Kluyveromyces lactis: one gene and its partner. Each later gene encodes a partner of the first gene's protein in a complex. Links are inferred from orthologs where the notes say so. Each region holds a gene or a part of one and is shown in the gene's direction. Other genes may lie near its edges.

Region 1 (11,824 bases):
GTTTACTCTTTTTTTGTTCCTTCTTTGTGCGGCAGTACTATTTGCAGAAGAGTTGTTATTGTTTGAACTAGATGTTGAGACAGTAGTTGTCCCGTTGTTATTTCTCCTTTTCTTAGTGTTCGCTGGTTGTATATCATCTGCATGAGAATGGCTATTGTCATTATGGTTGTGGTTATGCGCATTTCCGTTCTTATGACCTGCCATAGTGGAAGAGCGGTTGTGACCATTTGTTTGAGTGTTTGCTCCTTGGTTTGGAGCATTTCCATGTGATCCTACCGCCGCAACTACTGGTTCTGATCCTGCGACTGCTGTGGAGGCACCGGTTCCAGAAGTTGAAGTAGAACCAGCTGTGGATCCGACAGAACCTGAATTTGCCGTTCCAGCAGCGTTCCCACCTTGAACAGCAGTTCCCCCAGTTGTCTTCTTTGCAGCCATGGCTTCTCTACGGGATTCACTTTTCAGTGCTTGTTGAGACTTCGTCATTACATTTGATTCGACCTTAGCCATAAGCTCACGATGCAAATGCATCGCTGGATGGTTATCGTTACCTAGTCTTAACTTCTCTGGAATCTCTTGATTGGAAATAGCAACCTCGTAGGCTAATTCCAACCTGTCCGTTAACCTTTCTAAAGAATCGTAGGCTATAGATGAAACATGCATCTTCTCTTCCAATGACGGGATCAGCTCTTGAAACCATTGGTTTATCACACGTAGAGGAACCTTGGACTCATCAGGAACGTTTCTCCCACCAAGGAATCCTTTAATGCATTTATTTAGTTCAGGAATTATATTAACGCATTTAGCATCAATTTCATAGAGTAGAGTCATGTACCGTGAAACGTCTAATGGCACCTCTTCCAATACATCACTAATATCATTAAGACCAGGGTATAAATTTGCAGGTGCTGCCATATCTTGAGTTGTATTGTCTATGTCTCGCTATCGTGATATGTAGTACAGCTTGTGATTCCTACTGGATTGAGAGATCTTTTGAATCACACAAATGTCAATACACTACATACAACATGTAATTGTATTGCGTGCACTTATCCGGTATGCTAAACAATTCTAGTTACCTGACCTAAAAGAAAAGGTATAAATTTGATATTCAAAGCTTTTAATAAGACTAAGCGAGAACCTGAAGAAAAGAAAAATAGATCACGTGAAAATTATTATCACGTGATTGGTATTAAATAATCGTTTTGGATTCTAAGTAGGTTATACAATGGAAAGCTCGGGGTTTGTTTGATTACGATCATCCGTGAAACCCTGTCCGCAATCTTTTGTTTATGTTTTTTGTTTTCACTGTTGTCTCCTTCCACCTGTGTCACATTTGTCACTTCATTTCCCCCGCTCTAAATAGAAAAAAAAAAGGCGATTAGAATTTTGCTGACACTAAATCCTGTCGGCATCGGGTAAAATAAGGTAAAAAGGGAATATGTATCAGAAATAATGAATGGATCACGCAGGGAAACAGCCGCAGGGATCCCGTGCGAATTTGGAGATGTTCCAGCACATGACCTTGTACTTAAATTGTAGAGTATCTGTTCTTTCATTTGTTGTCATGCATTCAGGGCTGATTCTATTTCTAACGGCCAGTCACACAAAATGTTGTACTGATTCCTTGTATCAATCCTAGATTATCTCTACAAAGTCCGTTAACTTGAGAATTTTTTTGGTGATGACTATAATGATTCACCAAGAAAGTCACAATCCTGGACCAAAAGAAAATCCTGAATGTTTGATGATTATGATGATGATATGATGTTAATGATCAGCAATATCATGGCTAATTACTTTCATGAGGAAGAGAAACGTTTTTTTTTTTTTTCGTAGATATATAAATCACAGCCTTTCGGTGCAAACCTGAAGCATACACTTAGATAAGAAGAACATTCAGTACCGAGGTATATGAAATTGGTCTGATCAAAGTGCACCAAAGCTAACGTATATATATACAGTATCACTTCGACGAACACTATTGAAAAGGGAAAAATGAGTGACGCCTCCATTGAAATTGAATTGGAAACATCGCATGTTAATGATGTTTCCCAAACAAAGTCACAATTAACAGAAAATTTGAAGTCATTAGCTGCAGGCGGTGTTGGAGGTGTTTGTGCAGTGTTGACCGGACATCCTTTTGATTTGGTGAAAGTCAGATGTCAATCAAACCAAGCACGTAGTGCCATGGATGCAGTCTCACATATTCTACAAGCTGCACGTCAGGCAGCCGGTCCTACTTCTTTGAATGCAGTGCGTGGGTTTTATAAAGGTGTGGTCCCTCCATTATTGGGTGTTACTCCAATCTTTGCTGTGTCCTTCTGGGGTTATGACGTAGGTAAAAAATTGGTCACGAGTGTGCCCTCTTCGGCGGCTAGTGGTGCCGCAGCAGTGGAACCAGAATTGACATTGTCACAGATGGCAGCAGCAGGGTTCATCAGTGCAATTCCTACTACGTTAGTCACTGCACCCACTGAACGTGTTAAAGTTGTCTTACAAACTACTCAGGGTAAAGCTTCGTTTTTGGATGCTGCCAAACAGATAGTGCGCACACAGGGTTTCCAATCTCTATTCAAGGGTTCTCTAGCGACTTTATCCCGTGATGGGCCAGGAAGTGCGTTATACTTTGCCAGTTATGAGATTTGCAAGGAATATTTGAATAAGGCAAGCGGACATACCTCAGGAGAGTTGTCAATTACCAACGTTTGTATCAGTGGTGGTATGGCAGGTGTTTCTATGTGGGTAGTAGTGTTCCCCATTGATACTGTGAAGACACAATTACAATCATCTTCCAAGCGTCAATCGATGCTTGAAGTGACGCGCATGATCTACAACACAAGAGGTGGTATTAAAGGGTTCTTCCCTGGTGTTGGACCTGCCATTTTGAGATCATTCCCAGCTAATGCGGCCACTTTCTTGGGAGTGGAGTTGACCCATTCGTTGTTCAAGAAGTTCGAGCAACAAAAAACTAGTTCAATTTGAACTGGACCCCTCTATAATGATATTATTTATGCACTTCCGTTACGACAACTTCTTTTGAAAGAAATTATTTAATGAATATAATACAATAAAAAGCCTTCTGTTTGTTGTCTTGAGAGGAAGAAAAAGTCCGACTTGGATCCTTCACAGTCCTCCTATAAGACTAAAAAAGAAGAAAAGCGTTTCTTGTTACACGTATATTTTATGTATGGTTAGTGTTATATTTTTCTCCTCGTTTGAATTCATGTGAAGTTTTGCCAGCCCTCAGGTTTCTTCAAGTTTCTAACGTTGTAGAACTGTGGAGTACAGGAGTAAGATTTCCAAGTGAAATCATCACTTGGGGAGCAGACACATCTGTGATCCCTTCTGAATGCATCAGAAACTGGACAGGAATGGAATGGAACGTGGTAGTAACCGACGTCATTGAAATGATGGATTTGGTTCTTGTCCAAAAACAATGCAGCAGCAATAGAATGGACAGGGGCGTCACCCCATCTTTCGTAGAAGAACCCACCAGCATGATCCAAATGATCGAAGAACTTTGTGTAGGCTTCACTTCTCCATAGTTCTAGGGATGCGACTTCGAAGTTCGACCAGAAATGACACAAGTTATAAGAAGCACCGTTATCATCTGAGATGAACTTCATCATGTTGTTCTTGTGCAAATATTGTGGGTTTGCCTGGTTAAATTCGAAAACGGTCTTCCACAACGTTTCTATGGTAGCTTCGTATTCTCTCAAAGAGATGGTGAAACCGTACTTCTTATCGTTATCCTTCATGAATTTGAAAATGTCGTAATCGATATCACAGTAGATCTTAACACCTGGTTCAACACGCCAGTAGAACTCGTATTCATCCATCAATTTGTGTCTATAGAAGAATCCTGATTCATAACGACACATATGTCTGTATGATTCCGAATGACCATAGATAATCTTCTTGGCTTTCATATCAGCTCTGACTTGAGCAGCCTTTTCCTGGTCGATCCAGCTTGGATAGGACCAGTGTTCGACAGGGATTAGGCCAAACTTGACGTTACCACTAATCATAGAAGCAACTGTATTCTTGAAGTCATCTGTGAACTCTTCATCGTTCAAAAACACCCAATCGTATTGGAACTTCTTGTTGAATCTATCTTCAACAGACCTAATAGATGACAATAATTCTGTCAAATCACCGTTACGTGCCAAAGTCACAAAAGTTGCCTTAACCTTGGAGCCAGTGTACTTACCGGAATCGACGGTGGTGTACTTCAACCCTGTGTTTGGGTCTACAACAACACGGGAATCACCCTTCATGCGAACGGTCTCGTACTGATTTGCATTCTGCGAAGATGACACACCAGTGCTGTATCCACCATTGTATGAAGCACCTTGGAACAACAAATAGATGGTAATTGCAGCAACGATAATTATCCCAAGGAGACGCGCAGAACGCTCCTTATTGATTCTGGTCTCGCTCATGGCTTATTGAAAGATTACTGAACAGCTTTCTCCCAACCTATTTCCAATTGAAATAAAGAAAAATAGCGGATTTGTTAAGAAGAAATCAACAACGACCAATGTGGTTTCAGGATATTCACGTCAAACGATCAAATAACTTAGTAAAGCACCTAAGGAAACAAAAAACGATACCGAGTTGTTAAAGGTAAAATGCCTTCGTTTGTAATTTTTCAGTTTTCTTCAATTGAACAGTGGATATACGCTATTCTAATATCACATTTTTCTCGAGGCAACCCAGATTCGATCAGGGAATATTGAAAACTACAAAAAAAAAAAAAAAACTATATGATACCATTAGCAGAGCTCAGCCATAAAAATAGCACATTTATGACATTTATGACATTTATCGATCTCCCACTTCATGACTCGTAGTCGAAGGCATCGTGCGATGTTCCACTGCCCATTTTCTTCTAGTGTAATGATTCTTTTCTTTTCGGATTTAGACTTATGTGTTCGTTTCAGTCTTCTGTCCCTTCAAGGTGTTTTTTGGGATTTTCCTTGACCGATATGGCCTCTTCGTTTCGGAATCAAGCGGTCTGTTCTGTGGTGTCGAAGCCTCATAACCACATTCGGTGTTGCACTTTTTACTTGATTTCCTCCATGACGCGTTCTTCAAGGTTTCCCCAAACTAAAAAAAAAAAAACAAGATGGGACGAATGTATGACAGGATGGGGAGAAATCGGTCACGTGATAATCTGAATTTCACAAGAATAGAACACTTGTACTGTTAAGCATGGCATTGATGCACACTACGTTCTATCCTGTGCGTTCTTGCAGTTTAACGTTAAGTTTTTCTTTACTTATATATCAATTTGTTCTTTTCGATCCCTCATGTCACTTTCAGGCCTTATGTATAGAAAAATGAACAAAACTTGAGTTCTATATAAAACTTGAAAGCTAAAATAACGAAAAAGGGTACTTTTGTATTAAGTGGACGGCAAATCTTTAAACTTTCATAATGTAGAATCGTTATAATAAATTTTGGATAATAGTCGAGCCCCATATTGATGTTTTGGAACTAATGCAAATTTATGTCCATCTCCTAGCTAGACTCTCTTATACTGACGCCTTGGTTAGTTTAGGTCAATATGTGTCAAACCGTACAAAGTGATTATAACCCTGTAAGAGGAAAAAAATAACAGCTAGGAATGTTAGGACTTGAAATATCGAATTATCAAATATCGAATAATACCTTTATTAATACGCAAGAAAGTTACAGAAACAGCAGTTTCGAAAGAAATAGGAATCGAAAACTTGAATTGGACTCTGGTTCACTTGCCGCATATCACGGCCACTTTATAGAATAATGTCGGCATCATATCTGGAAAAACCCAAAAGATCGATTTCATCGACTTTGGCATCATTATTTACCAAGCATGACGATACGAATAGCGAAGATCCGAATATAACAAGGTCGCACAATGAAGATATCAGTGATTCAGGATCAGTGGTCATCAAGAGGCAAAAACGTGGCTTCGACGGTTACGAGGAATTGGTTTGGAATAACGAAAAAATCACCGATCACCCGTTAAATCACAATGGCATTGATGATATCAATTATGATGAAAGACCGAATATTTTCTTGTATGAAGGGGATTCTGAACATGGTGTAAGGCCTCCAGTACTAACGATAGAACCGAAACAAAGATTGCGGCTACTAAGGATGCAGCAACTGCGCCGTGCTCGGCAATTCCCACTTTTACAAAGACAATTACAATCAGCAGAGAACGGCCTATATCGCTTAACAGACGGCAAAAATGCTACTATAAAGAATTTACTCGTCAACAAACTACAAAGTGACAAGAAAAATCATAGGGTTTCCGATAACCCAAAGTCCAAGAAGTGGAAAGCTGATTTTCAATACGATTTATCAGAATATGATATCTTGAAAAACGACAAAAAGACGAAACCAGTATCTGCCTCAATGGGGAATTTGGAATCTCCTAAACTACCACATCCATTGCTAAAAAGGAGTACCTCTTCAAAGAAACATGTCAATACTTTTGATCAAACAGGAGTGCCTAGTGGATCTGGCTTAACTGATGTTCAAAGCAGGTTATTACAAGGAAAGACATTGCAAAAAAATCCAAAGATAGCACAAGAAGTAGTTGCACCAACACTATCATTGAAACCTATCGTCAAGGAAAAAATATCAGAAGATAAAGTTTTAAACGCTAACGGCCCAAGTGTTGGATTTGACTTTATGAATAGAGACAGTACTTCTATTTTCCCAGGTAGCACAGATACACCTACCAAACCAACAGTATCCAAAAATATATCTTTTGGAAATACCAAATTGGATTTATTCAACAATGATAAACAGAAATTAACGGCCCCTTCTCAGGATTCTGAAGAGTTACCAAGAAAAAAGAAAGAATTTAGTTCTACTGAGGACACTGTTAAACCATTTCCCTTCACAAGTTCTAAGTCGCTGGAAACATCAACTGAACCATCGAAACCTGCTTTTTCTTTTGATGCGGTAAAAAAAAACAACACAGCTACAGCCAATGGAGGCACAAAAATCTCAGATGGTGCTCCTTCTTTCACCTTTGGTGATTTATCAAAAACCAAGAAAGAGACCAAAAAAGCTGAAACATCCAAAAACCCCTTTGAGAAATCCGCCCCCGAACCTGTTGAAAATCTGGCTAAAGACGGCCTCCCTAAGTTCAGCTTCACTGGTGCGGATACAACTGGGATATCAAATATACCTACATTTAGTTTTGGAAAATCTTCAGAAGGCAAAGAGATAGCTAAACCCGCCCCTTCATTCAGTTTTGGCAGCCAAAAAGATGCAGGCGAACCAACTAATGTCAGTGAAATGTCAAAACCTATGTTTAGCTTCAACAAAGGAAAATCATCTACTCCAGATCTGACCCCATTGAGTACCTCTCAATCAACTAATACACCTAAACCACTATTTCAGTTTGGTTCCAGTGGTAGTACTGAACCTGCCGCAAAGAGACCAGATGGTACAAAAACTGAAGCACCAGTGCTGCCATCATTCAGCTTTGGTGGTAAACCTGTAGGAAATGATTCGTCAAAAAATATTGAGAAGGAAAAAGCTAAACCTTTCAGTTTTGGGCAAGCTTCGAATACATCAGCATTTTCTCTCAACCAACAGCCTTCAGCAGACAACGCGACAGAGAAGCAGGAAGCCAAAAATGCCGTCAGTACTGCTGTAAAACCTGCATTCTCCTTTGGTAGCACCCCAGCAGCCCTACCTTCTGATACAACCCCAAAAGAAGCTGCTGCACCATCATTTTCGTTCGGGACCACAAAGAAACCTGTTCAAGGTGATATGAGTTCGAAACCTGCATTCTCTTTTGGAAGTTCCTCTGCCATCCAGCAGCCCTCAATTGAAAAAGCTTCCAATGCAATTCCTTCGTTTGCAAGTCAGAACACCAGTGGCCAGCCTGTCAGCGGACTCAAATTTGATTTGACAGGGTTTAAAAATAATAATAGACAAACTACTCCGACTCCGTTTTCAGATTCATCAAATGTTGGATCTGCTCGTGGAAGCAACCCTCCTGTCCCATTCTCATTTGATAATGTCGTTCAACCTGGGAATAAGATAAGTGTAACGCAGCCTACTCAAACTACATTTACTTTTGCACAACAAAATCAAAAACCATTTACTTTTACTGGAAGTGGGCCAAGCACTACCAACAGTTCACCTGCATTTGGAACCAGTTCCAATCAGCCTAATGTACCTTTTTCATTCGGCGGAAGCTCAGCTTCTTCCACTCCCCAGGTACCAGCATTGGGTACCGGTTTCGGTAATTCTATGCAGACAAACACATTTAATCCTTCAGCCGCTGCCAATTTTAATTTTGGTGGTCAACCATCTCAAAGTCCTTCTGTAGTATTTGGATCCCAAACCCCGCAACAGAATCCATCGTCCATATTTTCCGCTGGTCAGCAGAATCCAGCGGACATATTCAATGCGCAGGCTTCAACTCCTCAAGGAGGGGCACCATTTCCACCGCAGCGCAAAATTGCTATGCCCGGTAGGAGAAGAAGAAGAGGCTAATAAAGGAAAACAAAGGCTTTGCATCTCAATTGTAACAATTATTGCATGATATCATTCCTTCCGACATCTTTACATTTATGTGTAAGAATGTATCTACTAATGTCATCTTAAAGTTTAGGTAAAAAATTTTGTTTCGAGAGAGTACTCGAATGGAGCTTCGTTAACGGATGAGATGCTCGTAAAATCTTTAAGTGGAACTACATCAACTTATAAATCAAGTCTAACATACTCAATAGCAAGAAATTGAGTGATTTCGCTTGTGGTATCCAAATTGAACCGGCTATTACTTGAAACATAGGCATTTCTGGAAAGTATTGATCAAATTTAGTTACATTGAAACTGCTATGCGTAGCGCAGTTCATGACAGCTTTGCAGGAATTCAATTGAATTATGAGTCACGTGAATATTCGTTTCGCCTAGTCAACTTCATAATACCGTAATGTTGTGAAAATCAACAAAAGCGCATTCTTTAAATATGTAACATGAAAGTGTCAATCACTAAATTAATATCTTCCAGTAAAGTAAAAAACTCCATAACCATGGACATTTCAGAACAAATACTGCCACGCCTTACCCACTTACAAAAATGTGTTCACTCGAAACCTTATAATGTACTTCACGTCCCTTCATTCCTCTTAGGGTGCTTTGTGGTAATTATGATCTCTTCTTTACAACCTTTATTCAGATCAATACTAGGAAGTGTACTGATAGGTGTTTTACGAATAATTAAGTATTCAGTTATTGGCGGTGGTGTAGGTTTGATAATAATGGTTTTAACTTCAGATCAAAGTAAACAACCTACTAAAGCTCGACAAAGTAAGCATCATGAAGGTGATTTTCAACCAATAGGAATAAATACCTTGCAAACTAAGGTTAATAAACACAGCCGTCCCACCCAGGCTCCAGAACCTGTTACTGTAACGAGTGCAGCTTACGAAACTTTTATTAAAAGGGCCGAATGATTTCTCCTATATACATCTACCCACACATTACGACCAATTGACACTAATGGGTGTGGTTGGTTGGTTGGTTTTGATCCTAATCAATGGTGGTTTCTAGCTATATTTACGCCGTAATGAAACATGTACTTTAGTGATCTTGTAGAGAATGATATAATATGTGCCAAGAGCTTATATTTGTTTATATAAGATTATCATTTCAAGCTCAAATGAGTAGAACTCACACTAGAATACAATAGAAACAGTACCAGAAGTACGAGTTTATGAAAATAAAACTTAAATTTCTTTTAGATTAATAGATGATTATTGACAAAATAAACTATCAACTGATTTAGTGGGTTTCGCTTGGGATTTCGAAAACAATTTGCTTACCGGTCAATTTGTTGTAGACGGCTTGGAAAGATTCCAACTTGTTGTCGATGTGTTGGACGTCCTTGGAGTTCAACAAGATCTTTTGGATCTTGTTACCACCAACCAAGTATCTGACTCTCTTACCAACGATTTCAGTTGGGAAAACCAAATCTTCCAAGATCTTATCGTGAACAGCAGTCAAGGTTCTGGATCTTGGTCTCTTTTGAGTTTGTCTGGATTTTCTAGATGGCTTTGGCAAGATTCTTCTTTCAGCCAAGAAGATGACATGACGGTCTTGGAACTTCTTTTCCAATTCTCTGGTCAACTTGATTTGGACCTTGTGGTAGGCAGCCAAAGATGGGACTGGAACAAAGACAGCCAAAGCTTTCTTACCACCAGCGACTTCGATCTGTAATGAAAATACGGAGGATAAATTGTTAGTAAAAATAAGACTTTATTATTATCACAGGGTACTAGAGGCACGAATGATTGGATTATAAAATGCAATAATGCAATATAATCACATCATTAAGGAATTGACTTGTTTTATGGATATCACTTTTGTCGTGCATGATTTCGAAAATTTAGTAATAACTGTGACATTTCGTAGAGAACTTATCTGTCGATATTCTTTCTTAGCAAGCATCAGATGGGTACAGAGATACTAGGCATACCTCACTTCAAAGCTTTAGTCATGCAGATTGCTTAATATATTAACAGATGTAATATTTTGTTCGTTAGATCATTTTCTTACATTATCTTTGTTATTTCCTCACTCCTGGAAACATATATTCATTCATTCATCTTATGTTTATTAACATTTCAGTTATCGTAAACGTATAGGTAATCCAATATTCAATCATTCCTTTTGCCTTTGAAAGTAGTACCACTTTCTTATAGTGTTTTAATGTTTCACATACTTCTCTGATGGACTTGAATTGCAAAGCTCTCAAATCAGCCTTCAATTCTGGAGAGTTGTTTTCCAAGTCGATGAAAGCTTGGGCAACTTGCAATTCCAATTCAGTTGGAGCTTGGGACAAAATCTTGGCTTGTGGGTCAGACATCGTGGCTTATGTTTCCTTGCTTGGTTATATCAAGAACTCCTCTAATGGAAAAAAATCGCTAAAACAGTGCTGCAACTAATATTCAACTAACGCTAATTTATTGTATATAACTATTAGACCTCATTTCAATTGTTTAAACAGTAAACCTTCAATTCTGAAAAAGTTGCTGAGACTGGGATGCATTACGATGAATGAAACCTACTACTGGCCTGGTCTGGATAGCTCGTAGAATTTGCCGGTCCATACTTCCACACAGTAGGTAGAGAGAGTAGCGAGCCTAGACAGTCGACACGGCCTAGCTGGGTTCCTTCCTACACCCGGAACAGGACCAAACGGTAGGTGGAAAGGTCCATTGGAGGCCCTGCCTAACCTGTTAGGGTCTCTCAGACCTGACTGGTGATCGAAAGACATGCCGTGGCTACGATGGAAGGACACTTCGTTACGAATGTGGGAAGCGGTGGCTATTCTCAAAATGAAAAATACAACGCCATAATACCTAAAAAGGGAGGGTGAATATATCTAGAAAAATGAAAGACTTTCGTGGTGTACAGATGCAAAGACGGTAAAAATATGTATGGATGTAACAGTCCCAGGTTATTACTTCTCCAGGTGTTTTTTTTGTGAGAAAGAGATGAAAGAGAAAGCATCAAGCAGTTACCATCCCAAAGAGTCACGTTTTTATGACATAGTAGTGTATGTTTTAAGCATTTATGAACAACGAACGTCCTTTAGCACAAGAAAAAATTACCCGGGAAGAATATTAATGCATTGATAAGTATTTCCTTGCCCAACGTTGATATAATGCGTCAAGCTCCGCTTCGAGATCTCCAACTGGAACTACTTCCCATTCCTCCCGTAATATCTCAGCATTCGCTTTGATCGTTTTTTGTTCTTTTTTTCTTTTTTTTCCTAGTTTTTCTGATGGCTCACATTAATGTC
Region 2 (7,846 bases), on another chromosome or scaffold:
CACCACATCGATGTGCACTATTTCACCTTTAGAGTTTACTAAGGAACCCTTCTTATACATCTCTGGTTCGTTATTATAGTTAATCCCACATTCTGAGAACAAAATTTCCTGCTTATCACTGGACAACGTTCCACAAAGCTTTTGTTCTGATTCTTGAGGTGTTAGACCGCACTTTATGATCAAGTACCAGAAGACTGTATTGTACAAGTTATTGATATGTGTATCAACAAATCTCCACGAAAGATAATCTTTTACCACAGTGAGGTTTGGATAACAAACACAACGGGAATCAAAGTATGGCAAATGTTTATGATGTAGGACGACATCGGGGAAAAATAGGTTCCAAAGAGAGACATAATTAGCTGTGAACAACGATACGAACAGGGTACTGATCTTATCACGTCTTCTATTAAAAAGTTTTGTATCTCTCTTCAAAATGAATGAGTATTCATCGCTTTCACCATACGCACAAATCATTTCTTGTTTATACTGCATGAACACATTTTTAGCAGCAGCGTTCATTAGTTTCAATGCCCTCTCATCATTTGGTTTAGCGAAATTATAGTATTTTGAGAATTCATGGAATTTCTTCCCATCAACTCTTACCACTATGTATGTATCCGGAAGCAACGCATCATGCACTTCAAATTGCCTTACGTATTCAAATCTTGACTTTGCCATCTATAGATCAAATAGCGTCCTGACACAGATTAGTGCTTTCTTAAGTGTTTCACTATTCTCAACCGAGATGAAGTGAGTAAGAGAAACTGAAATGTCCAACTGCTCAAATCATAAAAGATCCTAAGTTTGAATCAAACGAGGAAAAATCGCGTGCTACAGATATTCAAAAGTCTATTAAAACTAAGTACAAACAAGATCCATTTGATCAAATACTAATATCCCTCACTCAAGACTTACAGCAACTATCTATGTATTATTTTATTTACATCTTGTGAAGTTTACCCAGCTTTTAATACCGATGAGATGACATGAAATAAGCTGCGAACATTATTTTCGCTTTCGCCTCGATCTAATGCAAAGAAAGGTTTTAAAAAATTGCTTTGTTGAAAATACACACGGAACAATCAAATATTATAAGGGTTTAAAAACTTGGAAGATGGATAGCTTGTTTCCAGACCTGCTGAAGCTCTTCCGTTTATTGCAATTGCCATTTATTTATCTGAGCAAATAGTTTGCAATACTTTTGTTTGGAAATTGTTGGTACTAGCTGTTTTATTCACGGAAATAAAAGAGACACAATGAAAGTTATCCGTAAGAAGGATTCCAAGGTTGATATCAAAGCCAAGCAAAGGGCAATTTGGATTGTTGGTCATTATTTGACTCTAGTTTTAGGAGCATTATATGTTTTGTATGCTTTCAAACACAATTTAACTGTTTACAAGAGAAGATCATGGAAGACTCTGTTTTTGTTAGCAAAGCGTAACGTTCACAAGGTCACCTGGAAGAATAGCACTTGGAGCCAATATTTGATCAGTTGGTACCCAAATTTATGCTATCAAGGGTCATTGCTCGGTGTTTTCATGTCTTATGGTGTTACTGACTATCAAAAATGGTCTAATACTTCACCCTCATTTTATGACTTGTTAAGCTCAGAGAATTCCCAAGGCATTATGATGGCTAGCCTTTGGATGGTCAGTAGAAGATCATCGTTCAAACTATTCCCATTGATGATTGTGAGTTATTTACATATTTCGAAGAAGGACGAGGTTAAAAATACCGAAATTTCTGAGATCACTTTGAAGAACGCCAAGCTTTTACATTTGATGGCATATTCTGAATTGATTGTTATTTTAACTTTAGCAGTCAACACATTGCTTTTCAAGGAAGCGATTTCAGGGTTTGTTCTACTATTCACAATTGCTATCTTCTGGTTGAGATTAAACTTCTCTCCTTACACGCAAGCAACTTTATTGAAATTGTTGTTAAAAGTTGACAAGAAGGTTCCTGAAAGTCAGAAAGAGAAATGGAATTTCATTAAGGGCTTCCTATACAACAGAATGAAGGAAAGAGAACAGGCTTTACAGAGATTCAAAATTGATACATGAATTGGAAGAAAAGAAGCTCAATTTAACGTTTCAAGTATACCATTCTTTTCAACATTCATTTGTGTGAGCCTTTCTATATTTCAAGTATAAGACGTTTTTATTAATAAACGTTAGTGTATAAGTGAATAAAACAAGCAAAAGTTGTATGCTTAACTTAAACACAATTAAGATTATAATATTAGATATTCTTACTCCAGACTTCATGCTTATTTCAGATTTATTGAGCTTGGTAAATTAGTTATCTTCCTGTAATTTTTGGTTCAGAAGCAGAACTGATAATTTAGGATTCATCACAATAAGCAATTCAATCAGAAGTAGAAGTAATTGAATTCAAGAAATGGAGTCAGTTATGATTAGGTAGTATCTCAACCAACAAAAACGTAGAAATGATAATCAAATTCAATTTTTTTGTTATTTTTCTTTGGTTTGCATTGCAGGAAGTTAGACATAGAATCTAACTTCAGTATACGTATCAGATGGTGATGCATGATGTTATCCAGGCACATATTTCCGAAGAAATCATCGCCGGATCTTAAAAAGCTGTGGAAAGCGTTCATCAAGTACACAAACCTTGAAAACCCCAGTTAAATTTGATTTGTTCACCTTTAATTTTTGTTGGTCCCTATGAGCTCATAGGAAACAAATGACATCCAAGTATGCCCTGTATTATAAATACCGGCTGCTATGGACAATGACTCGGGAGAGGGACAATATTGTTTGCGTTGAAAACATCGCATGCTAGATTTAATCAAAACTGTAACTGGAAAACAAAACGATCCTGATCATAAACGAAGAATTCCTAAATAACAATATGTCCTGCATATACTTCCTCAGTTATAAATATTTTGTTTTTATAATCATTTAGAATCGGTAGTGGTTTTCCATAACAGTTGGTTAAGTCAGCATGTGTTGCATTTTAGAGCTGAAAACTCTTTCTCAAATACAATATACATTATTGTACCCCAATTCTGGTCTCAGAATTTAAAACCTTCGATGTCATATTCACTGCAGAGTATGAGTAACACTGGCATATTAGCCGAGGAAAGGCATTAAAACTAATAGCAAAAGAGGATACAGCAGTAATATTTTATTAAACATTCACCATCTTTGAAGTGGTCCTGTTATATATGATATTTTTTTGATTTTCGTCTTTAACCATATTAAAATTTTCACAAAACAGAAATTAACAAGTAGAAAATGACAGGAAATCAGTCCAGTTAGCACTGTTAGGGCTGACTTTGAAGACGGAAAGAAGTCTAAGGTAACTTGTGCTATGTCTACCAAAAGCATGCCTCATCAATATGTAACGAAATAATCTGATAGTATTGGACTTTAAATCGAGAAAATATTTGCCGTAGTTACAAAAGTTATATATGAATAGAGTATATGACTTTTATTGCATTTATTCAGAAGCGGTAGCTCTGGTGTAGATGGCTTGCTTGGAGTGCTTGGAAACTGGCTTGATGATGCCTTCGTTTTCCAAGTGTCTCAAAGCAACTCTGGCCAAGGAACCACCCAACTTGAATCTGTCAACCAACACAGAGACGGAAACGTATCTGTAGGTTGGAGCTTCCTTCATAATTCTGTCGAATTTATCTTGGTCCAAGACAACAGCGTGCTTAGCCTTGTCCTTGTGGGACTTCTTAGACCACTTCTTCTTGGACTTCTTACCACCAGCCATGGCAGCGGCGGCCTTAGCGGCTTTGGACAATTGTTGTTTTGGAGGCATATTTCTGCGGAAAAGGGAACGTTAAGTTCGGTATTGTTAGTAAAAAATTGATTCTTTATGAAGAGGGGTGTAGTGAGAAGTAGCACATCACTTAGTAAATTTGTCGCAAGTCCGACTAATGACGAGAGAATTTTTCTGATAGATAGCTTGTCAATTTGAATGAATCCTTACTTTCCAGCAAATTCACCCAAATTATAGAATCTGGTTTCCTAAGAAATATTTGCTGGCAGTTCCATTGGGCTATATCACCAAATAACAAAAAGCTGCATTATTCAGTACACTTTTAATCCTGATGCCATAGTACGATGATCAATACAATGTTGGAGAGAAAATTATCAATCCGTCCACAAAATATCTCTGGTAAATGTTGTTTCAGTATAACTGGTGTTGTTTCATTTGTCATCACTATCAATAAATTAACATTAGAACCTCTTCCTGATTCATATATCTATCTTATTCTTGTATAATCCTCGATATCAGACCTCGTGCTGGTTTTATTTTGTTATCTCTTTCATCGTAATCCCAAAAGTGCTATTCCAAATAAGTAACCACTGCTAGTACACGGCACATACGTTCAAATTCCCTTAGCTGGTTTCTTCTTGAATGAACTCAAAAGTAAATAACCCTATAATAATCAAGGTGCTACTTTAAACAACTTGTTAATATCTCTAAGTTGCAATTCAATGTAAATCAAAAAATGAATATTCAATCCGAAGTGAGTTTGTCCAGGACGCAAAGTATTCCTCTTCCTACCGGAGAAGCAGAGAAAGTGAAGCAGGATAACGAGGATTGCGACAAATGGACTCATTTTGGAAAGGAGATAATTTCCTCTTTAGGAAGGAAATAACGCATGAGAAAATATACAAAGTTCAACTTTCGGATATATAACGTGGTGTCTGGATCCAACAAAACAGTCCCGTAATACAACATTAAAAATAAGAGCGCTATAAAACAGATGTTTCATCTGATAGATTAGCAAGTTTTACACCAACAAGTCCTACATGGTGTTACGGCCATCGTACTTGCCACCTGCGTCAACTAATGAGGTAAGAAATCATTGCACGTGTGTCGGTTATAACGGTGGCTATTGCAAATAATCCCTGAAAGCATAACAACGTTTTATATTCCGATATAGTGTAACGGCTATCACACCACGCTCTCACCGTGGAGACCCGGGTTCGACTCCCGGTATCGGAGGAGAAAGCGATTCGAAAGTTTCGCTAAATACTTTTTACATTTTTACTCCCCTGAGCAACCCATCACAAGCAGAATAACATGTAGTCACGTGTTCAGCATAAGTCATCCCACACGAGTCAACAGTATATTGAAGGATTTAGAATTTCGAGCTGCTTTATTATTATTTCTGGTGTTAGTATCATCAATTCTCATGTTGATGTCTGAATGCTTACACATCAGCAATCCTTAAACTCCTTTTCTGCTACTTCCGGTTGCTTCCCGTTAGTTCAATTCGTTTCTGATTAAGAAAGTGACTTCTCTTGAGCTGATCTTTCCAAGCACAATACTCACTGTAGGATATGTCAAAGAGATTTGCGGGTTCTCAGATGACCAGAGAAGGTCTTGAGAACGGACATAGTAATAATGTTTCAGATGACGAGACTCCATTTGATAAACCTGCCGTTGCCAGCGAATCTGTAATGAGTACCAGAAAAATTGCAATGCCAAAGAGGAAAATGGGAGGATTTACTGCGGGTGATAAACCTAACATGTTCAAAGTGATAAAGGATGACAAGAAACCTCAAGGCACTGACTTAAACGAAAAACTCACGGCATTGAACGTGCAATTCAAAAATAAAATAAATTCTACATTGGAATCAGATCCAGTTGCTGATATTTCTTTCCTGTTCGATAAATACAAGACCTATTCGCAACAGTTAAGGTCAGAAGCGAAAACTAATGGCGCTGCAAACGCTCCTCCAACTAGCTCATTCACATTTGGTACCACATCAGCAAATGTGGAGAAACCTAAAAATCCATTTGCATTCGCAAAGCCTAGCGCAGCACCATCATTTGCTCTACCTTCGGAGGTGACTAAACCGACAACGACCGTAACGGAAGAGAGACTGCAAGATAAAAAAGAACAAATTGAGATTAACAGCGATAGTGATTCTGAAGAGGAAAAACCAGCCGTTAATGTTGAAGGCCCAAAGTTTGTCTTGGCTAAGAAACCAACGACGTCTGATCCGCCTTTCAGCTTCGGTGGGAATAAGCGTAAGGAACCTGACAGCGATAGCGACAGCGAGATAGAGATCAAGGGACCCCAATTTACGTTTAATGGGACTGTATCGTCCAGTGCCTTTACTTTACCAAAGAATGATGCTTCAAGGACAGAGGAATCTGAACCAGCTGAAAAACCAACGGATAACAAGCCAGCTAGTATATTTGGGAACTCTTCACAATCTAAACCAACATTCCCTCCTTCTGCGTCCGCACCATCCATAGAGAAAAATGAGGGAAGCAAACCAGCTCTTCCTGCCTTTGGGTCAAATAAGGCTGATAATGGTAATTCATCATCTCCGTTCTCATTTTCTTTCAGCAACAATAAAGATTTGGCCAAAGAAAGTGAAAATAAAAAGGAAGAAGCAAAGCCAGCTAGCACCTTCGGTACATTCTCTGCCCCTGCTCCATCGGCGGACTCTAAACCATCGTTTAGCTTCTCTGCTCCAGTGCAAAGGACAGCAACTGAAAACAAAGATTCATCAAAGCCTTCCTTTACATTTGGAGCTATGGGCAAGGAAAACAGTAATGATGAAGCTAAAAAGCCTTCTTTCACATTCGGTACCTCAACAACCTCTGAAAAACCGGCTGAGTCATCTAAACCTTCATTTACATTTGGTAAAGCTTCAACAGGCTCCACTCCTTTCACTTTTGGAAAACAGGAGACCGACAAAAAAGATGAGAAAAAACCTACGTTTACGTTTGGGGCAACAGCAGCATCAACTGTACCAGCATTCAGTTTTGGTGCCAACAAATCTGAAGAGGCGCCTCCACAAGGTGAATCATCTGGCTTCAAGATCTCTTTACCCTTTGCCTCATCTGCTCCAACATCTGATAAGGATACTGCCAAGGAAGTTAGTGAAAAAAACAGCGAAGACGCATCTGCTGAGGCACAAGAAGAGCCATCTAAAACTTTGAATCTATCGAACGGTGAGGAGAATGAGAATCTACTCTTTTCGCAACGCGCCAAGCTAATGATTTTCAATACTGAGACGAAAGCCTATGATTCCCGTGGTGTAGGTGAATTGAAGGTTTTGCAAAACAAGGAAGACAATACAAAAGCAAGAATACTTTGTAGGTCAGACGGTATGGGTCATATTTTGCTAAATACTAGTATTATAAAGTCATTTTCCTATGAAGCATTAGATCCAAATAATGAGAATTTGGTTAAGTGTCCTGCAATTAAAGCGGAAGGAGGGTTAGACACATACGTCGTAAAAGTGAAACAAAAGGCTGATGGTAGAAAATTAGTACAAGCGATCAAGGATGCTCAATCACCGATGTAAAATTAAGTACATTTAACTGTTAATTAATAGAACTATTTGAACTTAGTTCATATATGCATGTGTAACTATTAAAATGGCAAAAAAAAGTACTTAAAATAGTCAATCTTCAGCACCTTTGAGCTCCTCTTCTATCAGTTTTTTGAAAGATGCAACTGCCCAAGACAGTCTTCTACTTTCTCTATCATGTTCTTTTGAGCCTTTCATACCTGAAATATACTTGATATAATCAAAATGCTTAGATATAAACCATCTTAGCGCTTTTAAAATAACATTCTTATTCTGAATGTTAATACCTTTCTCGATCAAAGAAGACAAACCATCAGAGTTATACTCAAATGTTTTCTTTCCATCTCGTTTGATCTTTATTTCGGCTGCCTTACCTTCGGAAAGGAACAACTGGAAAAGCAAAATATCAAAGAAGATTATTCCATCTGAGTTGAGTCCTGCCATTAACGGAACATGCTTGAAAGCATCAAGTTTCAAGTGACCTTCTGCTATTAAATGGCCAAAGAATCGGCCTTGCTTAGCCA

The links. The genes of interacting proteins can lie anywhere in the genome.
Region 2: NUP1 (region 1) and NUP2 share a complex: the UniProt entries of both Saccharomyces cerevisiae proteins name them as parts of the nuclear pore complex. The link is inferred for Kluyveromyces lactis from reciprocal best matches to the Saccharomyces cerevisiae genes NUP1 and NUP2.

The regions. Positions count from the first base shown.
Region 1 is NC_006039.1:1,143,924-1,155,747, forward strand, and holds NUP1 (FG-nucleoporin NUP1), read left to right. Parts: upstream 1-5,787; coding exon 5,788-8,511; downstream 8,512-11,824. Other genes in the region: PHO23 (Pho23p), read right to left, coding at 1-912; CRC1 (carnitine:acyl carnitine antiporter), read left to right, coding at 1,996-2,982; alpha-1,2-mannosyltransferase KTR1, read right to left, coding at 3,222-4,442; KLLA0_C13497g (uncharacterized protein), read left to right, coding at 8,994-9,473; RPS7A (40S ribosomal protein eS7), read right to left, coding at 9,802-10,230, 10,742-10,885. UniProt on the Saccharomyces cerevisiae protein: Functions as a component of the nuclear pore complex (NPC).
Region 2 is NC_006038.1:545,744-553,589, reverse strand, and holds NUP2 (nucleoporin NUP2), read left to right. Parts: upstream 1-5,330; coding exon 5,331-7,316; downstream 7,317-7,846. Other genes in the region: THG1 (tRNA guanylyltransferase), read right to left, coding at 1-681; KLLA0_B06215g (uncharacterized protein), read left to right, coding at 1,260-2,066; RPS25A (40S ribosomal protein eS25), read right to left, coding at 3,469-3,795; SGD1 (Sgd1p), read right to left, coding at 7,416-7,846. UniProt on the Saccharomyces cerevisiae protein: Functions as a component of the nuclear pore complex (NPC).